Arabidopsis thaliana: one gene and its partners. The protein of the gene in region 3 interacts with the protein of the main gene of each other region in a pairwise test. Each region holds a gene or a part of one and is shown on either strand. Other genes may lie near its edges.

Region 1 (5,570 bases), on a different chromosome or scaffold from region 3:
ATAAAAGGTGTACGTATGCGTGTCTTGTCGTCCAAAGAAAAAAAGAAAAGAAAAGCTGATTGAAAGTATGGGTACACACCACAATAATAGGTTACTGCATCACTGAGCCAGTTTCTTTCATCCCCACCCTAACTAAAGCTCTATCAAAAACCCTAGCTAGCTTCTCTTTTTTTTTCTTCCTATATCTATTTATTTAGTTGTTTTTTGGGTACGTCGTCCTTACTTTGCCCCTCTTTATCTCCAATCTCTGCAACATTCCTCATTATTAATTTCATCTTTACATCTCTCCCCCTCTCTCTCTTTCTCTTTGTTTATGTATCCTGCTTGAACTCAATTCCAACCAGAAACCATATTTCTTTTAGTTGTGTCCTTCACCCTTGGAGAGTTGAAAAAAAGGAGGATGTTTGACTTGCAATTCAAGGCACGTTCCAGAGGCTAAACTACGTGAACTTCAGGTGATCTAATCGTTTCTTTGTTTCCCCTTCTTGAATATTTTTTGGTTTACCAAAGTGAACGAGTCATATATGGATAATATTACATAGTAGTGTATAATTGCCCGGAAATTAGGATTAAGTAAGCTAATTACACATTGTTATGGTTGCCAAATTCCGGGTGGAGAACATGTGCGCAAGCAGATTAGCGAGAAAAGCTTACATATTTTATGAGTGAGTCATTTATAATCAATTGATATTAATGCGCATACTGCGACCGATTTAGGCTCTAGGAAATATGATTACTATCTGATAAATTTATCAAAATGCTAATCTTTGGTATTAATTGCACACATAGATTAATGGCGTTAAACTGGTGTGACAAAGAAGATTAGTGTTTAATGTTTTCCTACATATATATGCGATTCACCATAATATTTATAAGGTAAGTAAAAGTACTATCAATCTGATAAACTTTTTCCAAGCCTTTGAGTGAGCACCTTTTTAGTTTACACTTGATAAGTCTTCTTGGATTACTCATAACAAAAACAAACAAAAATATTGGATTAGAAAACCATGATGATCTAGATGGTCTTGCGTGAGAAAACATACTAATTAATTAGGTTCTACGATCATATCTATCTAGATGATCAACATTTATTAACTCTAGGAAAGGTTTTATTGGGAGATTTTTTGAGTAAATCTTACGAATAATTAATTTTACATAACAGTAAGCTCTAAAACTAATTGTTTTTTTCTTCCATAGGCACGTGATGCAGTAACGTACGAATTCTATTATTAATCCACGAGTTGCTTCATATATTTATTCGTCATTTATTCTTCAGACACCAATTCATTGTGAAGTAGAACACTACGAGTGTAACAATAGGACCAATACTATAATCGTAAGTTCGTAACTTATATTTTTAACAACTTTGCCCTCATTTGCTTTCCTGTCGTTGTCACTATTTAATTCACGCTAATCAATTTACCTTCAAATCTATATAGATTAACTTTACAGTAACAATATAAAATGTTGATGCTATATGAAGATATTGTTCTGAGTATCAAATCATGTAGGCTTCACTAGACCTTATGATAATATTATAGTTTACCTATTATTATAACGTAGAATTTCTTGAGTTTATCCAATGGGAGAAGCAACCGGCAACATCGGCATAAACATGGAAAAAAAACGTATCGAGAACCAAAAACACTTACTTGTTTATATAAAACCCACAAATACTAAAATTTATAATAAAGATTCATTACCGTACAATTTAAATATTAAATTAACACATACATTATACATGACAACAAACAGACATACAAATGTTTAAATCGTCTAAGTATTACATATGATTGACCAGAGCAACAAAACAAAAGACACATTACATATATAGAATCACTATATAACAAAAATAAAAAGTCAAGTTCTTGATTTAATCAAGATCTTGGTGGATTTTGATAGAATTGCGTACCTGGTGGCATGAACACACTAGTCGTCATGTTACTTGAATAGTAACCACCAGAATTTGGATCTACAAACATGGCCGATGATACTCCTCCGCCACCGTCGGTCACAACTGGAGGATTAAACGGATGTCCTCCTCCTCCGCCTCCTGCGGATGAGCTCTGATGATCGCTTCCGCCACTACCGCCACTCATGTAGCTGCTTTCAGGGCCTTGGTCATACAGAATTCCTTTGAAGAGATGACCTCCAATATTGACCGTCGTTTGATAAGCGTACTGACCATCTCCTCCATCATCTACGCCACTCATTTTAACACACCGAAAAAGCGCATCTGAGCTCACTTCCCCCGGAAAACTTGCCTCCCCCATTTCTAACCCTAAAAACATATATACACAATTATACACATTAATCAACGTCCATAAACACAAGATTACGTTTATGTTTTAATGTTATGTTTCACTTCAAAACAGAACACAACATTTAAATGTTTTTTATCAAACATTTTTTCACACTGAAATTTGATTAAAAATAAATATAGAATGTTGTATTTTTAAAGTAAACAAAATTTGTGCAAGTAGTGAAAGGAAAATTAAACTCACATATATTTTTGTGTTGAAAAATTCGTGTTTCTTCTAACAAAAACATATGGTTCGAATATATGAAGTTGTCTGGATATCAAATTGTTTATAAAGACATAAAAAAAAAAAACCTGCTGAGTGGGATGGCAAGCGAGAAGAGGAGGATGTTCCTGGAAGAGTAGGGTCCCTATGGCGTTTTGGGATACTCGAACCGCCTCCTCCAGCACCGCCACTACCGCTTCCGCCGCCACCTCCAGATGTGGACATATGAAGCTGCTGTTGTCTCTCGCGGCGCCTCGCAACGGGGATCCACGTGCTCCTGACGTGAGTGGAACAATCGAATCCACGGCTTTTACAGCAAGTCCTGCAACGCATATGAGTGCAGTCTTTCTTGGCTTGGTTCCCACAGTCCCGACAGCTAATGGTGATGGATCTTGATGAAGTGGCTAAATCAGAGACGTCGATCTGATGACCTGGATAAAGATCTAAGCTTTGTTGTTGTGGATGTGAATGATGATGCATGAGCATCTGCTCTGGTGGAATCTGCCATACTTGTTGGCTCGAGCTTGGGTTGATATTATTGGTGTTTGCGTTTGATCTATACCAAACCCAATTTGTCTTTTGTTGTTGTTGATTTTCTTCTTCTTCGTCTCCGTTGTTGTTGTTGTTACCTCCTAATGAGAATATCCCAGCCATTTTTTAAGACCTAAAACTTCAAACCCTAATCTTGACCCAACTATATCCATAATTCAGAAACCCTAATTACCATGAAATCCTTATCCTTTTTTCTCCTTCTTCTTCTCACTCAAATTCAGCCTTATACTCCCTTAGCTTGTGGGTGTTGTTGCTGCTCTCCGAATCTAAATTCGAATGTTCTACAAGATCTCTCTTTCTCTCTCTCTCTTGGAACAAAGTGTGTTTCTTGGTAGTGAGTAGTTGAAGTGAGAGAAAGTAAGAAGAAGAAAAAGAAACAGAAGAGAAGAAAGAAAGAAGAATTTAAGCTGTCTACTTATTTATGAATCTTTATTTTTCTCTATAAATTTCTGCAACGCCGCCATGGGCGTTTTTAGATTTCTCTCTCCTCTGCTCTGCTCATCCCTAGAATTTAAGTCTCTCTCTCTCTCCACTACTCTGATTTGGTTTTTGCAGATTCTATGAAACCCAAAGTGAAAAGCTTTTCTTTCCTCTTCTCACTTCGGCTTTGTCTGAACAAAACGCTTCTAGTTCTGTCCGTATGAAAGTAAAAAAAGGATTAAACAAAGACTTTCTCTCTCTGCTATCTCTTCTTTCTCTCTCTACCGACTCAGAGTTTCACACCCACGGGGAATGATCCACCGGTCCTAGCTTTCTTGTTCTCATCCCATGGACCAGAGTTTGCCAAGTGGCGAATGTGCTTAAGCTTGTTTTATCTTAAAACGGATGAATTCAATTCTTTTCTTTGAAAGTTAGCATACATATTTTTTTCGTGGTTATCAAAAAAAAAAAGCTAGCTCATGTGTCCGTACGTATTAATGAACCGTATTTAATTTAGGTTAATTTGAAATCCTACGCGATTAGAAAATTAAATTCTTCTTTTTTTCTTTTTCTTTGTCCTTAAGCTTTTTTTTGTTTAATCTCAAACAATAGTAATTGCTCATCTAGCTGCCTCAGGGTTATATCTTGATCAAATTTATTAGAGCGTTCTTAACGATTTGTTTGGTTAATATGTTTCGAAAGTCTAATGTTACGTATTCAAACATTTACCCTAATTAAGTAAAGCCATATTTAGATTTTTTCTGAGGTAAGTAATCTTGTGATCAATCAGAACAACTCTTTTTTTCCTTCATAAAATATTCCATATATCATTATCATACATGTAAATATATATATATTTATCGATGCTTATGCTATTTGAGTAGACAATAGATTGTTTTAAAAATAGTTAAAAAAAACAAGCCATTCTTAAAATAAAAAAACTTACAAGTGAAAAGAAAATTTTTGGAAAAACGTCAATAGTGTCCACAAAGGGATGACTAAACCATATTTAAATTTAATTTTACATGCATAATTAACAAGCTCTTCTAATTTAGACTGCCACTTTTTCCGGTAAGTTATATATTTAAATATCCGCAATAAAAACATTCAAATATTCTGCTTGTTACCCTCTATAAATCATAACTTAAATCCATGTGTATAAAATCATTAAGAATTAGAGTTATAGTCAATAGTGTATCAAATCATTCACCATGGAGTAGTTATGAAAACAGAGAGATTCGGGGCAGTGAAAAAGAGGCTCTCTTTTTATTGATTGTAGCAAATGATCATATTTATATCGTTATCGAGTGATTTGAATAATTAAAGAAATATTTACAAAAAAAAAACTAAGGAAAGATGAAAAAAAAAAGCATGTTACTCTTTGGACTCTATGTGGCTATACAAGGGAACACTGCGCCACCTACGTGTACTTTTTTGTATTCCTTTCTTTTTACTGTGAATTATATAAATTTCCACGTAAACGACGAAGCAAACTATTGTAATAATATTTGGTATTCGTAGTTTTTCCGGGTTTATGGTTTCTAATAAATAGTCTTTGTTTGAAATGTTGTGGTAGACCAAAAACCTGTTGGATTAGTCTGGATTTTCAAGATCCAGAAAAAAAAAATCTAGTCATTTTTAAATCGGCCCATATTGATGAACGAGTGTAGTCACAATGCCACCTACGAATCCAACCAGAAACAATCATGTAAGTATATCGTTTTTGTTTAGGTGTTTAGAAGAATTAATAGTGGACTCGTACCACATGATGATCCATCCATGATCGTACAAATTAAGTTTAAACCCTAAAAAATATTAAGATTTTTATAAAACCGGCGTTATCAAGATCGGACCGATCCAGGTTAGTCCAGTCCAAAGGTTTTGGAAAGAAAAAGCTATTTAAAATTGTAAAATCTAATGATTATTATACAAATAAGAAAAACAAAAAAAAAAGAGACAGGGAAGGGAATGATAAGTGGGAGAGGCCCGAGAAAAAGACGTTCAGTGTCGCTCGCTGTCTGTCCCTTAAACATGTCGAGAGGTCTCTCGAGCCCTGTGTGTGTTCGTGTTTGC
Region 2 (5,179 bases), 2.0 Mb from region 3:
ATATAGAAGATTTTTATCCGCGTTGATGTTTTCAACATTACACACCACTCACACCGAAATGCTTCCAAACCTAAAATCGTAGAAGTTAAAATCATGGACGAAAATATCTATCCCCAATAAACTTTAAGGAAGGAGGCGGTGTTCTTCACGTTACATTGAATTTGGTTTGCCTTTTTCAGACACACTCATATGTATATATTGGATAAATCATCTATTTACATTTTATAGCAAACTTTATATCTTATTCTAATTAGTTAAAGTGTTAGATAGCCCAGCTAAAGACTATATGAAAATACGAACTATCTCCGTTGCTTTTTAAAAGTAATGCATATTATATCACAGCTATGTACGTTATCACAATCTTTTATGCATGTTTATTTGGATTTGAATTATTAAGAAACTAGTTAAATAGTAGTAGTTTATATGCAACATGCCACATTGGAATATACAAACCCCATAAATCGTATCTCTCTGGATTGGTCAGAATTTTCATTTTTTTGACACGGGAATACATATGTTTTCATATGTAAATAAAAGGGAAAAAAATTTCTTATGGGTTTATAAAATTAAAAAAAATGTGAAATAAAATATAAGTAATATAATAATAGTGATCAGAAATAGGAAGACAGAAAAGAAAATAAGAAAGGTGGGTGGGTTTAAATGTCATTATACAAACGACCAAAAGAGGGAAAACATTAATAGCCTCCTTGCCAACTTGCATATCAACTTGCAATTCCTTCCTTCCACGACAATGTTTACATATATATTTCGTACTCATTATGATAATAAATTAATAATCATTTATGTAATCAATTTGATTTTTCTTTAACCTTTTTTTTATTTATGGAATATTTTTTAAAGGTGTCAAAGAATAGTAGCGACTTTTTTTTTTTTCCTTTGCAACTTGCATGCTTTGTTTTTTTTCTATAACAAGTTGGATTTTATTACACCCCAACTTGCATTTTACGTACGATCATATACATGAATGTCTATATATGTATTCAATTTTGAATTTGGTTCACAAGTCTCGAAATCTTACTACTTAATTATAAAGTAACTAAACACATTTTGCTTTTGCAAACTTTGAATGTCTTTTCATCTTGTTCATTGGATTCTTTATATTTATATAACTAGATAAAGTTATTTGATTTTTCAAATGTACATTTTTATTCATGAACTAATATATAGGACAAGGAAATCCGAAAAAGTAATAATTTTGACATTTGAATTATTGAAACGGTTCACGCATCCCAAAACTATAAAAGGAACTAAGAAATTTTATCATTTTGGTATGTAAATAATTTTGATTTATTTTTTTGGTGAGTAAAAACAAAACATTTACGTATTTATGTAAAGTTTGTTGATGAAATGACAAATAATTTGAAAATTTTACGTTTCCAAATTAGGGAATTAAAGATATAATGCTGTATTACCTGACACCATTTATTTTGGCCTAGCATTATATATGCCATAAAGAAAATTCTTAAGATTATATCACATAACTCAATACATGCATTACGCCTTGGTTCAAGTTTAATTATCACTAATTGATATTATTCCATCTTTGCTTTTAGGATTGAACGCTTTGATTATATAGCTGGTGAGCAAATTCATTTAAAACACCAAGTAGTATTCTACTGTTTATACATTTCAATAAAATTCAAATGATGTATAGTTTTACTTTGTTCTTCTCTTAACATAAAGGAAAACGAATCATCTCAATCAGCACATGTATGGGTTTTCTGATTGCCCACAATTGTTCAGATCTCTTCATATATAGTAGATATGCCAATGATTATATTAATCAAATTGTTTGTGTAATACATTATTATGTAGGTTATCAAAATTAATGAAATTAGACATAATAATATCGGAAATATCGTAACAATATACCCCATGCATTATAGCTGAATCACTATATAGTCTATATTGTTTCATGATTAACTAAATTAAAAGACAAATAATAAATATGTAAAATACGGCGCAAGAAGAAGATTATGAAAATAACTAAACAATCAATGTTTATATAATAAAGCTACGAGAGCTGTACAAGAAGAAATGGTTTTAAGGGTAAAACCAAAGTATCGTTGAGACATACATTTAACAGACCCTAAAAACCCTAACTTCGAAAAACCAAAACCATCTTGTTTGATATAATTCTTGTTTTTTGTTTTAGTTTCGAAAAATCCCCGACGATAGTTAAATACTTAAATCTTAAAATCCAAAACCACCTCGAGAATCCCAAAAATAAAAGATAAATTTTGAAAGAGAGAAATATAGAAAATAAAATAAAAATAAAAAGATTGAAAAAATGTAATTACGAGAATTTAGAAGTGTTCTCGGCGAGTTTAGCCAGCGATTGCAAGTTGCACCGTACTATAGTATCAGCAAAGCTACAAGTCTCTTCCTTATCGTTACCCGCCGGTACGTCAACGACGTATGACTCAACGACACGTGTCCTCTTCTTGCCGTCGGAGTCCTCCTCCGACTCATGCACCGTCGTCACCGACTTGTAGTTCATGAGTCTGTGGTCCCCACCAACGACGCTGAAACTGATGACGTGGCGATCATCGTCCATGATCTCAAGCCGCTCTAAGCTAAACGCCGCGGGGAGACCAGAGACGACTCTGACCTCTCTCACCGACCCAACCTCTCGACCGTCTCCGATAACCACGTGGCAGCTTTTCACGAAGTGTTTGTACGCTTGAGGGTGTTCGAAGCGGCTTAGGATCGACCAGACTGTGGAAACCGGAGCCTCCACGTCTTGTACCACGACGGAGAAGCACTGAGAAGGACCAACCACGTGCGTGTGGGAAAGCTCCACGTGCTCCGGCACATCAGCCATCCCGCGCGTGAGGCTCACTTTTTGAACCTGTTTCTGATGGTGGTGGGGATAGTTTCTTACGGTGGCGTTGGCTGCTTCTGCGGCGGTGGAGGATCTCTGAAACTGTATCGACGTTGGCATTATTAAAGCAAATCTTTTCTCTATATCTCTTTTAATATTCTTGGCTCTCTCTAAGAAAACAAATGGTTTTCTTCGTGAGGTTGTATTAATGAGAGATATTTACATGTAATATACAGAACTATATAAGGACAGAGTGTTTATATATAAAAATGCAAGTATGTGGATTAGGAAAGAGAGTTAGTTTGTGTGGGTTCTTCGGTTGTCCACTTGGGATTTGTTTGGAGTTTGTGTACTGCTTCAGTTAAGAAACGTCTCTCTCTTTCTTTATATCAAGGACCGGCCCGGTTTCCCATGAAATTCTACGGACTGGTTCTCGATATTTAATATAACCGGTTATTAAATTTTAATTTTGTTTTTCCTTGCTTTGTTACTGAGGCTGTCTATTTGTCAATGGTGCTATATATTTCACCAGTTTATTACAATGAATGAGCATGTTGTCGTAACCACACAAGCATTACTATAATTAGAATGGACGTTTTTATGTTTTAACCAAAAACACTCTTGAATGAAAGTTGAGAAAATGAAATCAATATCATTTAAGATACCGAGAAAAAAATTCTGAACTCATCTCTATCTCACCGATTATATCAATATTCAGAATATAAAAACATTGAACATTATCTTTGAGGTTTTGCATAGATATTTCAATCTTCTACTGTCTCGAGGCTATATATATAGCTAACTCTAAAACGTTATTAAAGATTATAAGAACATGATCACTATGTGTCGAGTTGGTTAAGCTATATATATTGGTTAAGAGCTATACTTAATTTATGCATAGGTTTGAAAAAATTCTTGAAACAAATTGGTTGGGAGGACCGACCTTTGTCTTTGTGATTGCCGATCTATTTTCAGTTGGTACTATTCTTGGATGCGTTTTTGGTGGATTTTTAATTTTGTTGGAACCTTCTGACTAAGGTAAAAATTTCAAAAATAACTCCATAGGACTTTCAATGTTCCAAGTTGGTGAAGATATCATGTCATGGGTCCATCATAATAATCTTTCCTCATCTTGTAATCAACTTGAGCCTTTCGACGATACTAAAAAAAGTATTAATCAAATTCCTTTTCAACAAAGAAAAGAACAGAATATTAATAAGACGAATTAGAAGAAAATCAAACTAAGCAGTTTGCTAAAAGTAACCAACGTAAAGTCAGGGAAATTTACGAATTGGACAATATTTCTTGGGTGTGTTTTCTTCCACAAACGTATATTCAAATCATATGAATATATTGGACTCTTGGATTTGAGTGGTGGGCATAATAACAAAACACAATTGGGAAAAATAATAAAGGGTTATCTAATGCATTAGTTTTTCCAACAACTATACATATTCCCAAGTAGCCCTAGTTGTTAAGATTAATACGAATAAGCGAGCAATTTGCAGTACTAATTATATCTGACATTTTATAGAATAAGAAGGACAAAAAGTTACAATTTGCTATTTTTTGCACCATCCTCGATATAAAGATTGCTCATCTTATAAGCTTTCGGGTTAGGTGACATAATCACTCACCAATATATTACTGAACACAAATAGATTACAAGTTGATGTGGAAAATGTATTAATATTACGGTGATACATTTTTGGGTTCAAAGAGTCAATCTCAAATCAATGCATCAGACGTATTTTGTTACAACAACATAATTTGTGCCAACTTTTTTTTTTGTCAAAACATGTATTATATATCCAAGATTTAAATTCCAATGGTGAGATAGTGACAAACATTAGTATAAACAACTCGACTCCATGTCATTATTATTTTTGTGCAAAAGCCGGTTGTTTGTTTGTTTGTGAATATTTCTCGAGAAATAAATCTCCAATATGCATAAAATATTATTCCACCTAAAATTATTAAATCCCCAACTATGATTATAAACAAAATGCACTTAAAATTTCAAAAATAAGTATCGAAAAAATCAAAGATAAGCTTAAATTTCGATAGATATTTGAATGAATCAGATTACAACGTGATATTAAGAGAAGATTATCGATCAAAAAGTAATTAAAAGGAGAAATTGTCCAAAATAGTTGCATCTCATTCTTGCGGAGAAGAGGACACATTGTCAAAGGGAACTTGTGGAGGTGCAATACCCACCAATTCATTGGATTTAATTAATTAACAGTTTGCCAACTTGATTTCTTCATTTTTCTAAAGGCTTAGAAGATCTTCAAGATTCGAGCAAGAAAAACGATTTTGGAGACCAGAATG
Region 3 (6,426 bases):
ATTTACTAAAAACAGAAATTATATGATTCCATTTTTTAGTTCGGAACATGGATGTTGTTCTTGTGGAGGTATCCAGATTTTCTAAAATATAGATAACATCCAGAGGTTAATAATCCAGATATTTGAAAACAGTAAATCGTTGTCCACCCCTTCATTGACATCTTGGTCGACATACCAATAGAATAAAGCAGATGTCGAAATCGTTGACTTGAAACGTGTGTCAAAAGATAATACGCCAAGTCTTTTGCGTTATTTCATTGTAAATAGGATACAATTATCGGCAAGTAAAAAAAGGAGAAGAATTATATATATTTAGTAGAATTTTATTAGTGACATAATAGATAACGATTTGGTTTCTTGAGCCTTTAACAACTTACTTTGAAATCATTGACAAATATTACTTCACATAACTTGAAAAAAGAACGAACAAGAAAGAAAAGAATAAGTACATAAGAACCCAAGAACATAAGAGAGGATTTCGACAAGGACGAAGCAAAATTCTAAATGATAAAAACAATTGAATACAAACAATTAAATTAAGGCTAAGAAACAAAAACAAAAACGGTGTTCTTCTGCAACATGAATCGTAGCAATTGTTATGTAAGCAATTTTGTGTTGTTCGCAAAATAATGGGCCTTAGTCCTAAATGTTATGTAAGCCCATACAACTTTTTCCCTTTTTTGGGCTTAATCAAGAAATTAAAAAAGCATTGGGCTGGTTTCCCGCTGTTTGATTTAAAACCTTTTTGTTTTTTAAGAAAAATAAAGGAACATTTATAAATTTATAGGCCAACTATATATAAAAATTAATGAGGTCCACTGAAATAAAAGAAGAGAACGACAAGTCATTTCTCTAAGTCCACGAGGAATCCTATAGCCAACACTTCTGGACCTTTTTTCCCCATCCACGGCCACCAAGTTGGTTTAGGCCTCCAATAATACATTTTACCTTGTGTTTAACCTTTTAAAGTTTTACTTCCTACATATCTTAAAAAAATATATAATCAACGGTGTGAAACGGAGAACCATGGTTTAACTTTAACCAACCACACTTGAATTATAAATCAAACATAAACAAAGTTATCTTATAGTAAATCCTGTCTGGCGTTGAGACCGTAGACAAGAAGAAAATATCTACTACTACTAGTACTAATTAAACAACGAACGAAATAGAATCAACGGTTAGGACAAGACGATGGAATTGAACGGTAAAGATTAGATAGACACAAGTATGACCCACGCCAGGCTGTTCCTTTATTTCCTTAGCGTTAAACTGGTGGTGCTGACCCAACTAGGCGTCCCTTGAGTGGGAAGCTTTCAGGCCCCACGAAACAACGCCGTATTAGTGGTACAATCAAGCTTACTAGGCCCCGCCAATAACACGGACGAGACTTTTTTCGCAAAAAGCTTTTGTAACACTTGTAAGAAAATGGAATCATTTGAAAAGTAATGCTACAACAATTTTAGGAAAACAACATTAGTATTTTCATTTTAGATAGAAATATTTATTTTGTTACAGATTTTAATAAAATCAAAACATCAATATCACAATTGTTGTTGAGTGGACCATGACTTAGAGAGGGCTTCAATAAATCTTATTTTGTAAAATTACAAAGACCAAAAAAGTCAAGACAAAGTGGTGAGCCCCCACCAAAAAAACGAAACGTTTCGAATTATGCTTAAGCTTAAGCTGGTCCTACTCATACGGACCACGTAGCTCTAACCATTTGGGGACCACACCCAACCTGGCTGCCTCGGAAGCTATGCGTAAGGTGGGAGCCGTGTGGCCCCTCTCCTCCTCCCTCCACTCTCTTTTTGGTGCGTGTTGACCCACTTCTGCCTAAAATCGAGGCCCACTTCTTAACACGTGCACTTCTTCATGTGCACACGTGCTTTTTTTCCGATCACTAATACGCCGCCGTTTCCTTTCTTTTCTTCAGTGGTTCGATGACCGTGCTGTTGTGGTGCTCATGAACTGGTGAAGCTCTTGTTTCTCGTATATCTCTAGGGAGAAGTCTCTCAGCGTGTGCGTCGTTGTTGTTGCAATTGACGATGAACTACCGGTTGTTACGCCTGAGCTTGAGCTCGGAGCCATAACCGACGTCGCTCTTGATAAATTCGAACCGCTAACGTCTGAAACGGATACAAAGCCGCTGCTTGGAACAACTTGTAAAGGAGGTGGTCTAGCCATCGTGGAAGCCTGTTGAACAGCGGCGACGTAAGACGACGGCGAAGCAGCGGCGGCGGGAAAAGCTAATAACTGAGGCTGATTCGACGGACCAGCGATTTGTGGAATCAAGAAGAAAGCTCCGACCGTCGGAATCATTGCGTTTGATGGAATAGCCCACATCGGATACATTCCTTGCGGCAGAAGTTGCTGAGCCACAGTGGATGATGCCAGAGCTTGCGGAGGTTGGATCGTTGTCGTCGTGGCAATTGGAGCTAAACCGGAGGAAGCTGAAACGGCGTCGCTTATGTCTATATACTCACTGTTAGAAGGTCGTTTACGTTTCTTCTTCATCAGATTTTCACCCATATCAGAATCAGCGTTCGTCGTCGTCGGGATTTTTAAGGTTCCGTTAACCGACATGGCGATGGCGGGAACCGTTCCCGTACCCGTGGCGGCTATAATCGCCGGCTCAGCGTTCTCCAACAACCACCGAATCGTTTCGCCGTCGGATTTGTGACCTAACTCTCGAGTTAATTGAAAAATCCTAGCCGCACACGTGGCAGGCATCCGTATCCTTCTCCCTCTTCCTTCAACCTTCGTGTGACGGTCTTTAGTCGAAGCTCTCTTCAATGGTGGTCCTGTCGAAGACGGTGGAGCTAAAGACATTGAAAACGACGGCATCACCGGCTCCGCCTTGGGCTCGAGACTCACTGTGGGATTTACTTGGAAAGGTCTTGAAGTTTCGACGTTTCTGACGCCGTTGATGATGGTTAGATCAACGGCTCTTAGAGTTTGATCTTTGCCTGCAACTTCTTCAAGCTTCTGAATTGTCGCCATTAAAATATAGCTGAGAGAAAACGGACGGTGGAGATGACGACGAGAGTTGTTAAAAGCGGATACAATGGGAAAGAATCGTTTTAACGGCGTTACACGTCCAAGGAGATTACTAAATGTGACTCGTCAGGATATATATATAGGAGCAGGAAAACAAGTGAGAATAGTATTCAACGCTTTTTGATGCGGGAAAAATCAACGGTCCTGATGTGTTCGATGAGCTTTAAAGAACCATTCCGATTGTACCACGTGAACAAATCACTTTCCATTGCTCTATCTTCTATCAGTATTATTATGGGACCATCTGTACAATGGGGTCCAGTAAACTTTATTTCTCTTTTCACAAAATGTTTTTCTTTTATTGTTTAGTAATATACTTGTTTTTTAACCTAAGAAAAGCTTCAAAATCCAAAATCAGAAACTCATTCTGGTTAGTACTTACTAGTTACTAGTACACTCCCAAATGAAATACCTAGCTTTGTACAAAAATTTCCATCGCTGATCAAATTTAACTTTTCTATGGTTGGAAAGATTTTCAATAATTTTTATTGGTTAGGCAAAAAAAGATTTACTTTAATTTTATGGAAAAAGCTGTAAGCCCATACTTGGGGTTGGACCCCATTAATGTAGGTCACAAGGCTGCGCCACCAAAAAGCTAATTAGTGTCTATGGAATAATCCTCTTTCCAGGATTCCAAAATCCTCCTATCGTCCGTCCTTTGATTAAACCGGTCACATACATATACGCATACTTATGTACTTGTGTACTTGTACAATCCGGATATTAAACATACAAACCGAACTAGAAATCAGATCAAAGTAATCGAAATGATTGTAAGTTCGACGGTAACTAGATGTAACCGATTCAAACTTATTTTGATTCGTTGGTACTTGTTTCGGGTTTGAACCACTAGCTATGCTACTTGTACATACGACCGACCAGAAAGAGGGACCGTAAGCACCAGAAAAGAAAGGCTACAAAACGAAAATGTGAATGTGGGCCTGAGCTGGACCCTACTCTCTTCAGTTCCACACATTGTTGAGGGCTAGGCCCAACTATTCGACCCCACCATTCCCTACCCACTCAAAAATCAAAATATTGGCGATAACGTGGCCTTGAGATTAACAAACAAACGGATCCGGGATTAGAATTAAACACCAAATTATAAACCGGTCAAACCGGTAGTAACCTTTTAGGCTTAAAAGTTAAACCAAGTGGGTTCCACCTTTTCCGATTACAGATTCGGGTCCACCACAGAGGGATAATGTTGTAATTTTCGCAGCCACCAACTTTTGCCTACCATCAGCATACCATTCATTACGCCAGCATCAATAATTTGGGCTGATTGGTAAATTTGAGGTTTTGGATTCCGATGTTTTTACTTTTCACTAACCACACAATTTCACATAAATAAGTGTAGTATTTCTTACAAACCATTTAATCTTTAATGATGCTTGTTTTATTCGTATCGGTCCATTTCTTTAGACATAGAGAAGCTTATCTCTTCAGATACATCTGTCTATGGTTATGTTCTCTACCTGTTGCAATAAACACAATTTCTAACAAAAGCCTGAAACCATTCCCTAAGAAATCTGTAGGAGCCTTTGATGATCTGAAAAAGCATTCCAACAATGGCAATATTCTTCCGTTGCATATAAACCATAAGTAAAACGCTTAACCTCACGATCCCGATATGTAAGTGTACCGTGACTGAGCTCCCTCCAAAAGCTCCACAATTTTCTCTGCAATTTCCATGAGAGAACCAAAATAAGGTCAGTAGATGGCAAGTAGACAAGACAATCAGTGATCTCGTGAATGAAATGAAAGCTTTAAAAAGTAAACCTGTGAGGAATCCGATCAATGGAATTAGTTCCAGCTTCTTTTGAGAGCTTTCCAGCTTCTGCCTGCAATTGCAAGACAAGCATATTTGATTTATTAGTAACCCGCGATAGCTTAAGCTTTAAGCCTAAAACCCAGGGATACCAAATCTAATATTAACATAAGAGCCAAGAGGAAATGAACCACTTCGGTTTCAATTTTTCCCATTTCAGAAAATGCCATAATTGAAACCATAAGAACACTCACCTTGTGTACTTGGTGAAGAATGGATCTCTCATGAGGTACAATGCCCATATCAGTTTTCGTCTCCTCAGCTGAAGAAGTAACAAGAATATGAGTTAAATCGGTTCAACATTACTGTTGTATTGAGGTCCAAGAGATTTCTAACCTCATCCTTTTCAGGTCCTGAGAAATGGACTTGCTTGCTCTTCTCTCCCCACCACTTCGAATTTGCAAGAAGACCCATCCCCAGTGTGTCCACAGAAAGCGATATAGCCCAAGGAATCCAAGATCGGACTCCATATTTTCTGATGAAAAGAACGTAAATGAGCGGTCTCGTTATGTAAAGAACCTCACCAATCGCAAACAACGCTCCATTAACACCCTTCTCAGTAAGTAGCTCGGACATCGTTCTTCGCCTCTCCTTGATCATTGGAGGCTCTATAACTGCTTGCTGATGTTGAATTCTTCGAGACCAACCGGGGGTAGAAGATGTTGTTGTTCTTGCATTCTGACCAAATGAACTTAAAGCAGACATCGCCCGTCCTTCCAAGTTCCATGGATTATGATGATTTTGGTTTCCAAGACCATGAGGCCCGAGATTTCTACCCGAATTACCAGCTCTATTTTGCGACTCGGATTGGTTAGAATCTTTCTCCTCATTAGGTGTTTCCCCTCCTTGAAGAAGCATCTTATACCCACTATTCCGGAACAAGGCTAACCTAATGACAGCCCTGAAAATTCAAAGTTTTCAAGATATCAAAATGCCAACTAAGTAGGTTGTGTAGATCCAAGTGATCAGAAGAAAGCAAGCTTACTTCATAGCTTCAGTGAGAATAATGTAGTTCCATTTTTTGTCTCCATAGAAGTGTTCAGCTGCCACTTCCACAACAGTTTCCAAATCCTTGAGGATGGCGATGAGTAGTGGATAAGAAAGGGATGGATCATTCCCGGAAGATCCAACATGGCCACGAGGTGTTGGAGCATTTTCAATTATGTGTTCATTTATCGTTGAGAATATGCCCAAAAAAGCCGTTACTACAAAGAAGATTACCAAAAAACTTCAATCACACTTCCATGAACACAAAACTGACAAAAGAAGAAAGAAAGAAACATTCTTTGGAACTTGAAGGTTCTAATGTTAAAGACTTAGGACACGAAACATGTGAGGAGGTACAAGTGAAGTATGTAATTTGAGAAGAACCGATAAAACTGAGTATAGGACAGTGTTCATTATTCAGACAAGAGACTTTAGGAGCTAACAGGGATAAAGGAAACAGTTATTCTAAGATTGAAAGCAGTAAAATGTTACCAAAGTATCACAAAACCTGCTTCTGGTCCAATCTCTGAAGCAGAAAACTTCTC

The links.
Region 1: the proteins of TCP9 (region 3) and STY2 interact in binary tests that used the Arabidopsis thaliana proteins (3 or more experiments, as listed by UniProt).
Region 2: the proteins of TCP9 (region 3) and PYL6 interact in binary tests that used the Arabidopsis thaliana proteins (3 or more experiments, as listed by UniProt).

What each region holds. Positions count from the first base shown.
Region 1 is NC_003075.7:17,153,828-17,159,397, forward strand, and holds STY2 (Lateral root primordium (LRP) protein-like protein), read right to left. Parts: upstream 3,819-5,570; 5' UTR 3,180-3,818; coding exon 2,615-3,179; intron 2,282-2,614; coding exon 1,878-2,281; 3' UTR 1,729-1,877; downstream 1-1,728.
Region 2 is NC_003071.7:16,842,860-16,848,038, forward strand, and holds PYL6 (PYR1-like 6), read right to left. Parts: upstream 3,336-5,179; 5' UTR 2,966-3,335; coding exon 2,318-2,965; 3' UTR 1,729-2,317; downstream 1-1,728. UniProt on the Arabidopsis thaliana protein: Receptor for abscisic acid (ABA) required for ABA-mediated responses such as stomatal closure and germination inhibition.
Region 3 is NC_003071.7:18,818,782-18,825,207, forward strand, and holds TCP9 (TCP family transcription factor), read right to left. Parts: upstream 3,109-6,426; 5' UTR 3,007-3,108; coding exon 1,936-3,006; 3' UTR 1,461-1,935; downstream 1-1,460. Other genes in the region: SSE1 (shrunken seed protein (SSE1)), read right to left, coding at 4,684-4,745, 4,846-4,907, 5,089-5,156, 5,231-5,795, 5,880-6,099, 6,390-6,426.